2 linked regions of the Nothobranchius furzeri genome follow. The protein of the gene in region 2 purifies or fractionates together with the protein of the main gene of each other region. This does not show direct contact. Links are inferred from orthologs where the notes say so. Each region holds a gene or a part of one and is shown on either strand. Other genes may lie near its edges. The genes, in order: lrp5 and sost.

Region 1 (3,823 bases), on a different chromosome or scaffold from region 2:
AAACAGGTTTATCGGTTCAGACTGAACCAAACAGCCTATCCCCCCATCTGTTCTGCACTGAGTTGAACCAACTCCCAGTAACCTTTGCTTTTACGTCAGCCACCTGCAGTTGATGAACAAAATAGAAATGAAGCAGCTCAAAGAAGCCAAACTCTGACTTTACACAGAATGGCGAAAGGCGTACCTCTATCTTGTCGGTTTTAGCGTCACCCCAGTAAAGTTTCCCTGCAGCGTTGTCCAGAGCTAGCCCATTGGGCCAGCCCAGTGAGGTGTTGAGAAGGACCACCCTGTCGGTTCCATCCAGGTTTGCACGCTCGATCTTGGGATGCTCACCCCAGTCGGTCCAGTACATGTAACTGTGTGGATGATGAATCAAAAAGAAAGTAGAATTCTCAATTTTAGAGATTCTGTTAACCACAACTATCTATTAGTGATGCAAGTGAGCATTTTTTAATTATGAAACCATTAATTCCATTTCTACAAAAGGTAACGCCTGCACCTAGCAACAAGACACTAAAGCTCATCCCTGAAGGTCGCTCGAGTCTGAACTGTAATAAGTGTTTTTGAGTTTGGAAACTCAACCAAGCAGGATAAAAAACACATTCTCAGAAACATGTCAGAGTGACAGCTGTGGCATTGTATGTGTTCAAAGACACAGAAACCATACCCATTCACAGGATCCAGCACTATAGCTCTGGGCTCATCCAGGTTCTCAGAAATCAGAATCTTACGAGACGTTCCATTTAGCCTGGTGACCTATTACATAAGGTGACATCATTATGGTGAAAGTCAGTGCTTTTAGAGTTCAGACAAACACTTTTTTATACTATTCTAATGAACAGTGGCTCTTTTCTCTGTTCAGTTACTGACATGACAGTCTGTACCTCAATCCGATCAGTGCCAGTGTCTGTCCAGTACAGGTTTCTGGCCACCCAGTCAACAGCAATCCCATCTGGGTGTTTGAGTTCTGTGGAGACCAGCACCACGGCATTCCTTCCATCAATGTGGGAACGCCGGATAGCCTGAACTTCATCATCTGTCCAGTACACAAGACCTTCAACTGGGTCGTAGTCAATTGCAATGGCATGGCGGATGTCATTAACCTGTATGAGTAAAGGAACAGACTAGGTCAAGTTTAGACAGGAATAAAAATATTGTGTGTGTGTGTGTGTGTGTGTGTGTGTGTGTGTGTGTGTGTGTGTGTGTGTGTGTGTGTGTGTGTGAGTGTAAGCGTGTGTGTGTGTGTGTGTGTGTGTGTGTGTGTGTGTGTGTGTGTGTGTGTGTGTGTGTCGGTGCATGTGTGTGTGTGAGTGTGTGTACGCATGTGTGTGAGTGTGTGCGTGTGTGTGCGCGCGTATGTGTGTGTGTGTGTGTGTGTGTTTACCTCCAATAGTATGTCAGTGAAATCTGGCAAATCAAGTGAGATTCTCCTCAGGTCTGTCCGGCGAGCCAGCAACAAAACCTCCTCTGCCCCTAAAGCACACACAGACATTTTACCAGTGATAACACTTGTGTGGATCTTTAGGATGAACCATCAACATCCCTGGGATAGTAAAAACAGCATCATTGTTAGATGTCTCCCACCCCATGTACGAAGCTGATGTAGAGCCGGAGAGCTCCTTGAGAGGCTGACTGCAGCATCCTGAGTGCATGAAGGAGCGTTATCCTAGGTCCTTTCAGAAACCACAACCACCCCTGCTCCCAACAAATCCAGTAAATCATTCCTGCCTTTTTTGCCCACCTCTGTTGTTATTTTATTTGTGTCATGGTTCTCCCTGCTTTATCAGTAACGCCCCACCCCCACCCCCAAACGCACACACACACACACACACGCACACACACACACACGCACACACACCTGTGTCATGCCTGCATCTGCATCACCTGCACACCGCACTATTTATAGCTTCAGTTGCCGCCTCCCTGCAACATTCTTTTACTGATTTGATTCCAGTCTACTACCACATTTAAGCCCCGGGTTTTCCTGCTCTGCTAGGCCCTTGATGTATCTTTTCTGCCCATCTGATCTGTGGACTTCGGCCTTTGCTCTGCTTTCCCAGCTCCTGATTTATACCTCCCCTATGGAATTCCTGTTTATGACCCAGGTTGAATATAGATCACAGCTTTGGATTTTGGACTTTTTGGAACTTGTGTGTTTTGAGGGTATTTCAGTGTTTGTGACATCTGCAGTGAGGACTCATTCACACAGACTGAAGAGGAGTGCTAAACTGATCCTCTGCTGACCCGACGCTCCCTACAGAAGGGTTGCTCTGCACAGTGGAGCATCTCACTTTTCAGTTTTCTGTTTTAATAAAACACACTGCCTGGCCAAAACAGTTGCCACCCAAAAAAGGTCACACACACTAACATGTTATCTTTGATTGCGACACACATACTCTGTAGAGTTGTTTCAATAAGCTTCTGCAATGTCACCAGATTTATTTCCACCCAGCGTTGCATTAATGTTTCACCAACATCTTGCAAAGACTTCTCTAGCACATCCCAAAGATTCTCAATAGAGTTAAGGTCTGGTCCCTGTGGTGGCCGATCTATGGTGAGAAAAAAGTCTCAAAAGATGTGTGTGTGTCTCTCTAGATTTGTGTGTGTGTGTGTAACTCTTGATTTGTAACTTGTGTAGCGACATGAATGGCCTCATTTGTGACCCAAAGGTCAAACTTCCCCAGCTAAGTCGAGATGAAGGACACTTCAAGATTTAAAATGGGCTGATTGGCTGCACCTGGCGGTAAGGCGTTTCCTGTTTTCAGTGTTGCACTACGTGTAGCTGTTTGGTGTTTGGGGCTCGCTAAAACTGATTTAATTTCTCTGTACTAGGATATCTCTGAGTTATTGTAGCACATAAGCACGTTAAAACACACATTTTCTGTTGTTCCACCTAGCTTTTAGGGAACCATTTGAGTTTGCATGCAGTTTATTTGGTGTTGAACAGTTTGCTCGTCCAGTTAGCTTAGCCTCAGCACGGCTATGGCTACTTCTGTCTCTGCTTCTCCGTCTCCTATCTCTTGCTCTCTGTGTCAGATGATTAGTTACTCCTCTGCCTCCTTTAGCGATAATGGTAAGTGTAATAACTGTAGCATTTTTGTAGCTTTGGAGGCAAGGGTGTCGGAATTGGAGTCCCGGCTCCGCGCTGTTGAAAAACCCGTAAACAGCAGTAGCTACTTCGCTAGCGCGGGGCTGACTAGCTCAGAACCACCCCGTAGCGATCCTCCAGCAGAACCCGAACAGCCGGGACCTCAGGCCGGCTGGGTGACGGTATGCAGGAAGCATAGAACCCAGCCCGTGGGCCACCACCAACCCGTCCACGTTTCTAATAGATTTTCCCCGCTCAGTGACGCACCCACTGACAAGCCGACTCTGATCATTGGCAGCTCCATAGTCAGAAACGTGGCATTAGAGGCTCCAGCAACCATAGTTAAATGTTTACCTGGGGCCAGAGCGGGCGACATTAAATCTTATCTGAAACTGCTGGCTAAGGATAAGTGTAAATACAGTAAGATTGTTATTCACGCTGGCGGTAACGACACCCGGTTACGCCAATCGGAGGTCACTAAAATTAATGTTGCTTCGGTGTGCAAGTTTGCCAAAACAATGTTGGACTCCGTAATTTTCTCTGGCCCCCTGCCTGATCGGACCAGTGACAACATGTTTAGCCGCATGCTGTCCTTCAACCGCTGGTTGTCTAGGTGGTGTCCTGAAAACAACGTGGGCTACATTGATAATTGGAAAACTTTTTGGGGAAAACCTGGTCTGATGCGGAGAGACGGCATCCATCCCTCTTTGAATGGTGCAGCTCTTCTTTCTAGGA
Region 2 (4,334 bases):
AGTGTTAGGTAGACCCATCAGTGCCTTTAGTTCCAAAATCAACAGAGATACGTTTTCTGATACTCTCCATTATCCTCCCTGTTCTTTTATCTTCCACCAGCAAAATGTAAAAGGCAAGCAATAATGTTTTAACTCTGTGTGTGTGTGTGTGTGTGTGTGTGTGTTAGTATACAAAATACCTTCTAACCCCCCTGAAAGATTTTAATTAAACCAAAAATTCTTTAATTTAGAAATACATTTTTTAAGTCAGCCTGATTCAGTGGAAGTCCTTGGCTAACATCCATCCATCCATTTTCAGCCGCTTATCCGGGCTCGGGTCGCAGGGGCAGCAGTCCAGGGAGGCCCGGACTTCCCTCTCCCCAGCCACTTGGACCAGCTCCTGTGGGGAATTCTAAAGTGGTCAGCTGAGAGACAAAGTTCCTCCAATGTGTCCTGGGTCTTCCCTGAGGCCTTCCCCCAGTTGGAGGTGCCCGGAAAACCTCACTAGGGAGGTGTCCAGGAGGCATCCTAACTAGATGCTCCTGTCAATGTGGAGGAGTAGTGTGTCTACTCCGAAACCCTCCCAGATGAGTTTCTCACCTTGTCTCTAAGGGAGAGCCCAGCCACCCTGCAGAAAAAACTCATTTTGGCCGCTTGTATCCGTGATCTCGTTCTTTAGGTCACTACCCAAAGCTAAACTCAGTTTTTAACATTTTTTTCAACAACACAATACTTTGACATGACACATGACAGCGCAGCACACTAAAACAGTTAATCATTTACATCAAAGCAGGATCTTCACCTGCAGATTTCTAACTGGACGTGTACATTCAGTTTCATCCTAATTTTAAATGACCAAACGCAGAAGCTACTCTAGTCTAAGATGTCTGAAACTCACACCAAGACAAGAGTGAAAAATCTTTAGAAGGCATTCTTATCGGACAGTTTGCACCTGAGGAATAACACCTACGTATGACTTGCACAGGGACTATGGTCACTCTGAGAGTAAAGAGAGTTCCAAAGGAAGAAGACAAACCACGGGTTATGGCTTTATGAAGCATATCAAGCAGCAGTTATAGCTTACGTACAAGCTGCAGTGGAATCAGGTGTTCACCTTAAAGCTGATCTTTGGAAGATACATTTGCAGGCTTTATAAAATGTTGTACAATCAAGTGTTTGGTAGCTAGGAGTCATCCCATCACACATTCAGTTTAACAGTTTAAACACAACTTCTATTTTTATCTGTAAAAAACGGTTTTTGATCTTTTGAATGAAAGGAAGTGGGTGATATTCAGAATGCTGACTCATCCTTTCTTCATCTCCTCTGACCTTTAACCCACCTAAAAAAATATCTCCTCTCATCCCTATCCTTTCTCTTTTCTATTTTTACTCACTCAGATCCAAGCCCCCCCCCCCACCCCCCCACCCCACCCCCCTTTGCTCCCTCTCCTGCCTTTTCAATGAAAGCGGGCTCAACCCCTCCCACCTCTGACTGAGCGTTTAATTGCACGCTGCAGACGGCATCTTGCTTCAATAAGGCGCGCGCACTGGTAGTGGACGTAACCAACTTTTACGAGTGACCAAGTATCTCCTGTGTGAGTGAGTGTGAGTGAGTGTGAGTGTGTGTGTGTGTGTGCATGTGTGTATGTGTTTAAAGAATAAAGTCGCTCCTCTGGTTTGGTTTATTCGTGCCTGACCAGCATGCAGGTGTCTGTGGCCCTCCTGGTCTCCAGCTCGCTGCTGCTGCTGCTGCTGCTGCAGGGATGCTGCACGGCCGCGAAGGGATGGAAGGTTCTGAAAAACGGTGCCACGGAGATTTTACCGGACTATCGAGAAAACACCCGGACACCTCAACAGGCGGTTCTCCAGACCCCAAACGGAAACAACACGATGAATAACAACAGGGCGAAAGGCGGAGGGAGAAATTCCAACACTGTCTCTTACAGTAAGTGTCAGTTAATTGTCCATTCAATATTTAATTATACAACAAAAGGTGGAAAATGCTGGAAAAGTGCAGGATTATGATCAATTTGTGGAGCTGTGCGTAAAGCATTAAAAGTACTGCTGTTTCAAATTGCGTAAACGCATTTATAATAATAATAATAATAATAATAATAATAATAATAATAATAATAATAATAATAATAACAATAAAGTTCAGTCACTAAACTGATAAAAAATGCATTAATTTTAATAATTACCCCTTTTCCCAACACAATGACTCAATTTATGGTCCAAATATCTCATTTCAGCTCAGAAGACTGCAGGCTCTGTTGTTTTGAAAAGCAAAGACCTGAAAGAGATAATTATGTTGAATAAATCAGGGCTGCTTTGTGAATTTGTGTTCACAGTTCCACATTTCTGCCTGATTTTCACACCACTCTGCTGATTATCAGCCGCTCTGCTGCGTGGAGAGGGATGAGGGTGATGAGAGCGGCTCAGACTCACATTCTTGTGGTTTCTTCCTCAACATTCTGAACCCAAGCGCTCAGAAAGACATCAGGGCTTTTTGTACATTGTCTTCCAGGTTGTTTCCTTTTCTCTTTATGCTATTAGTCAAGCTCTACTTGCTTCGTAACCATTTGATTGCAACAGCATGTCTCCTAAACAGAAAACCCCCTAGTCTGCTCTTCAGCATGGATGTCTATGGGAAGGTGGGGGCTAGAAATAGCTTTTATAAATGCAACGCTGCCTTTGAGAATGATTCCCACCTGGGTTGTAGGTTCTGACTGAACAGCGCATGCAGGGCAGTCTCATGCTCGTGGACTCTGCATGGGTGGTGCAATGGCTTTTGCTTATTTGAGGCCTTTTGATTTGGACTTTAGAGAAGGTGACTGATTAGATTAAAGGAACAGCTGATAAGGGAATTAATGGGCTTAATGTCAGTTATTCTGAAGGATTCTTATCCAAGGATGTGTAATGAGATGCAGATGTGTAAATCTAAAGAATAGTATTCAGATTATTTGTTAGTATCCAAAAGAGGGTTGCTTGTTTTTATAGTAAATACACAGAAAACGTCCCGGAGGGACAGATAATCCCTCCTGGGTCCGTTTTATCACTTGGGCTGAGTCCTGGGATGACCTCTCATGGTTCTGTTTGGGGTTACAGCTGAGACTTTGACCAATTCCTGGCTTTCCTCCAAATCTCCCCAAAGGCTTTTCTCTAAGTCCAGATGGAAATGAACAAGTCACGCAATTGTCCAGCAGGATATCATTCCTCTTAGATAGGAGAACGGGAACTGTCAGTGACTCGATGCAACCTGCTGGGTTCCTTATTTAGGAAACTTTTTACTGATTAGCTTAATGAACTGACCTGTATTGGAATGTTTACTGTGTGAAGAGCCTTGAGACGACTAGTTGTGATTTGGCGCTATAAACTTGAATATACTTGAATTAAATTGAACTGTAGTAGAAAAAAATGAAACACACATCCAACAAAAAAAGCTAACAGTTTTGGATATTTGGTGCAAACCGCTGCAAACTGGGTGCTGTAGGTGGTATAAACAATGTGGACTCTTCAGCAGCAGCACCAGAATAACACCGGGTCAGGTTCTCCCAGTGAGAAAAAAAGGAGAGAAGTCATCCACATAAATCCTTTGTTCAGTTCTTTTATTTAACCTAGAAAGCCACAGAGGGAAACAGATCCCTCTCCGAGTGTATCGCTTCTACACCAACGGCTCTTCTCGTCTTGTAAAAAACACGTGAGAGTAACTCATGCATGTGGCTCTTAAAAAGCTCCATCTTATTACAAACAGCGTTCTTCAAACTTGTCCAGTTGCAGCGCTGCCTTAAAACAACCAGACAGCTATTTACTCCTCCACCACCACATGCGTTTCCTGAGGGTCGGGACTGAGTGCCAGCTTTTCCTCCATCCCAGACCCACATTGGGTTGGATTGAGCTGTTTAATGGCCTTCTGGTCTGGATTTTCTATCAGCTTATTGTTGCCAGCTGTTTTGTGTGTGTGTGTGTGTGTGTGTGTGTGTGTTGTCAGCCAACGATCGGACCATGAGTCAGGTCTGCTCTGATATTATTACCTTAAACCTCCACTTAATTGAACAATTTGCTGTTTTTTTGATGAATTTATTGATGGATTTTTATGTTTTATACTGGTTGGACATAAATTCAGCTTCCAGCTTGGATTTTTTCCCTTATTTCCACACTAATATGATGACGTGAGAGAAATCACTGGAAAGAAGGAGCAGCTGCTGCAGCGAAGTGGTTAAAACTGTAGAATCCTCCACAGTGTTTGTTTTGGGTTTGGTCCACGTGTGCTGACTGTGATATCCCGTTTTTCCACCCAGGTGCCTCGGAGATGAGCTGCAGGGAGCTGCGTTCCACCCGTTACATCACTGATG

Evidence for each region.
Region 1: the proteins of sost (region 2) and lrp5 purify together in Homo sapiens (affinity purification with mass spectrometry; 3 studies listed by BioGRID and IntAct, counting the BioPlex papers as one, with this or other methods). This does not show direct contact. The link is inferred for Nothobranchius furzeri from reciprocal best matches to the Homo sapiens genes SOST and LRP5.

What each region holds. Positions count from the first base shown.
Region 1 is NC_091754.1:40,308,250-40,312,072, forward strand, and holds part of lrp5 (low-density lipoprotein receptor-related protein 5), read right to left. Parts: intron 1,474-3,823; coding exon 1,385-1,473; intron 1,104-1,384; coding exon 885-1,103; intron 757-884; coding exon 668-756; intron 357-667; coding exon 185-356; intron 1-184. UniProt on the Homo sapiens protein: Acts as a coreceptor with members of the frizzled family of seven-transmembrane spanning receptors to transduce signal by Wnt proteins.
Region 2 is NC_091756.1:48,613,561-48,617,894, forward strand, and holds the start of sost (sclerostin), read left to right. Parts: upstream 1-1,528; 5' UTR 1,529-1,680; coding exon 1,681-1,924; intron 1,925-4,280; coding exon 4,281-4,334. UniProt on the Homo sapiens protein: Negative regulator of bone growth that acts through inhibition of Wnt signaling and bone formation.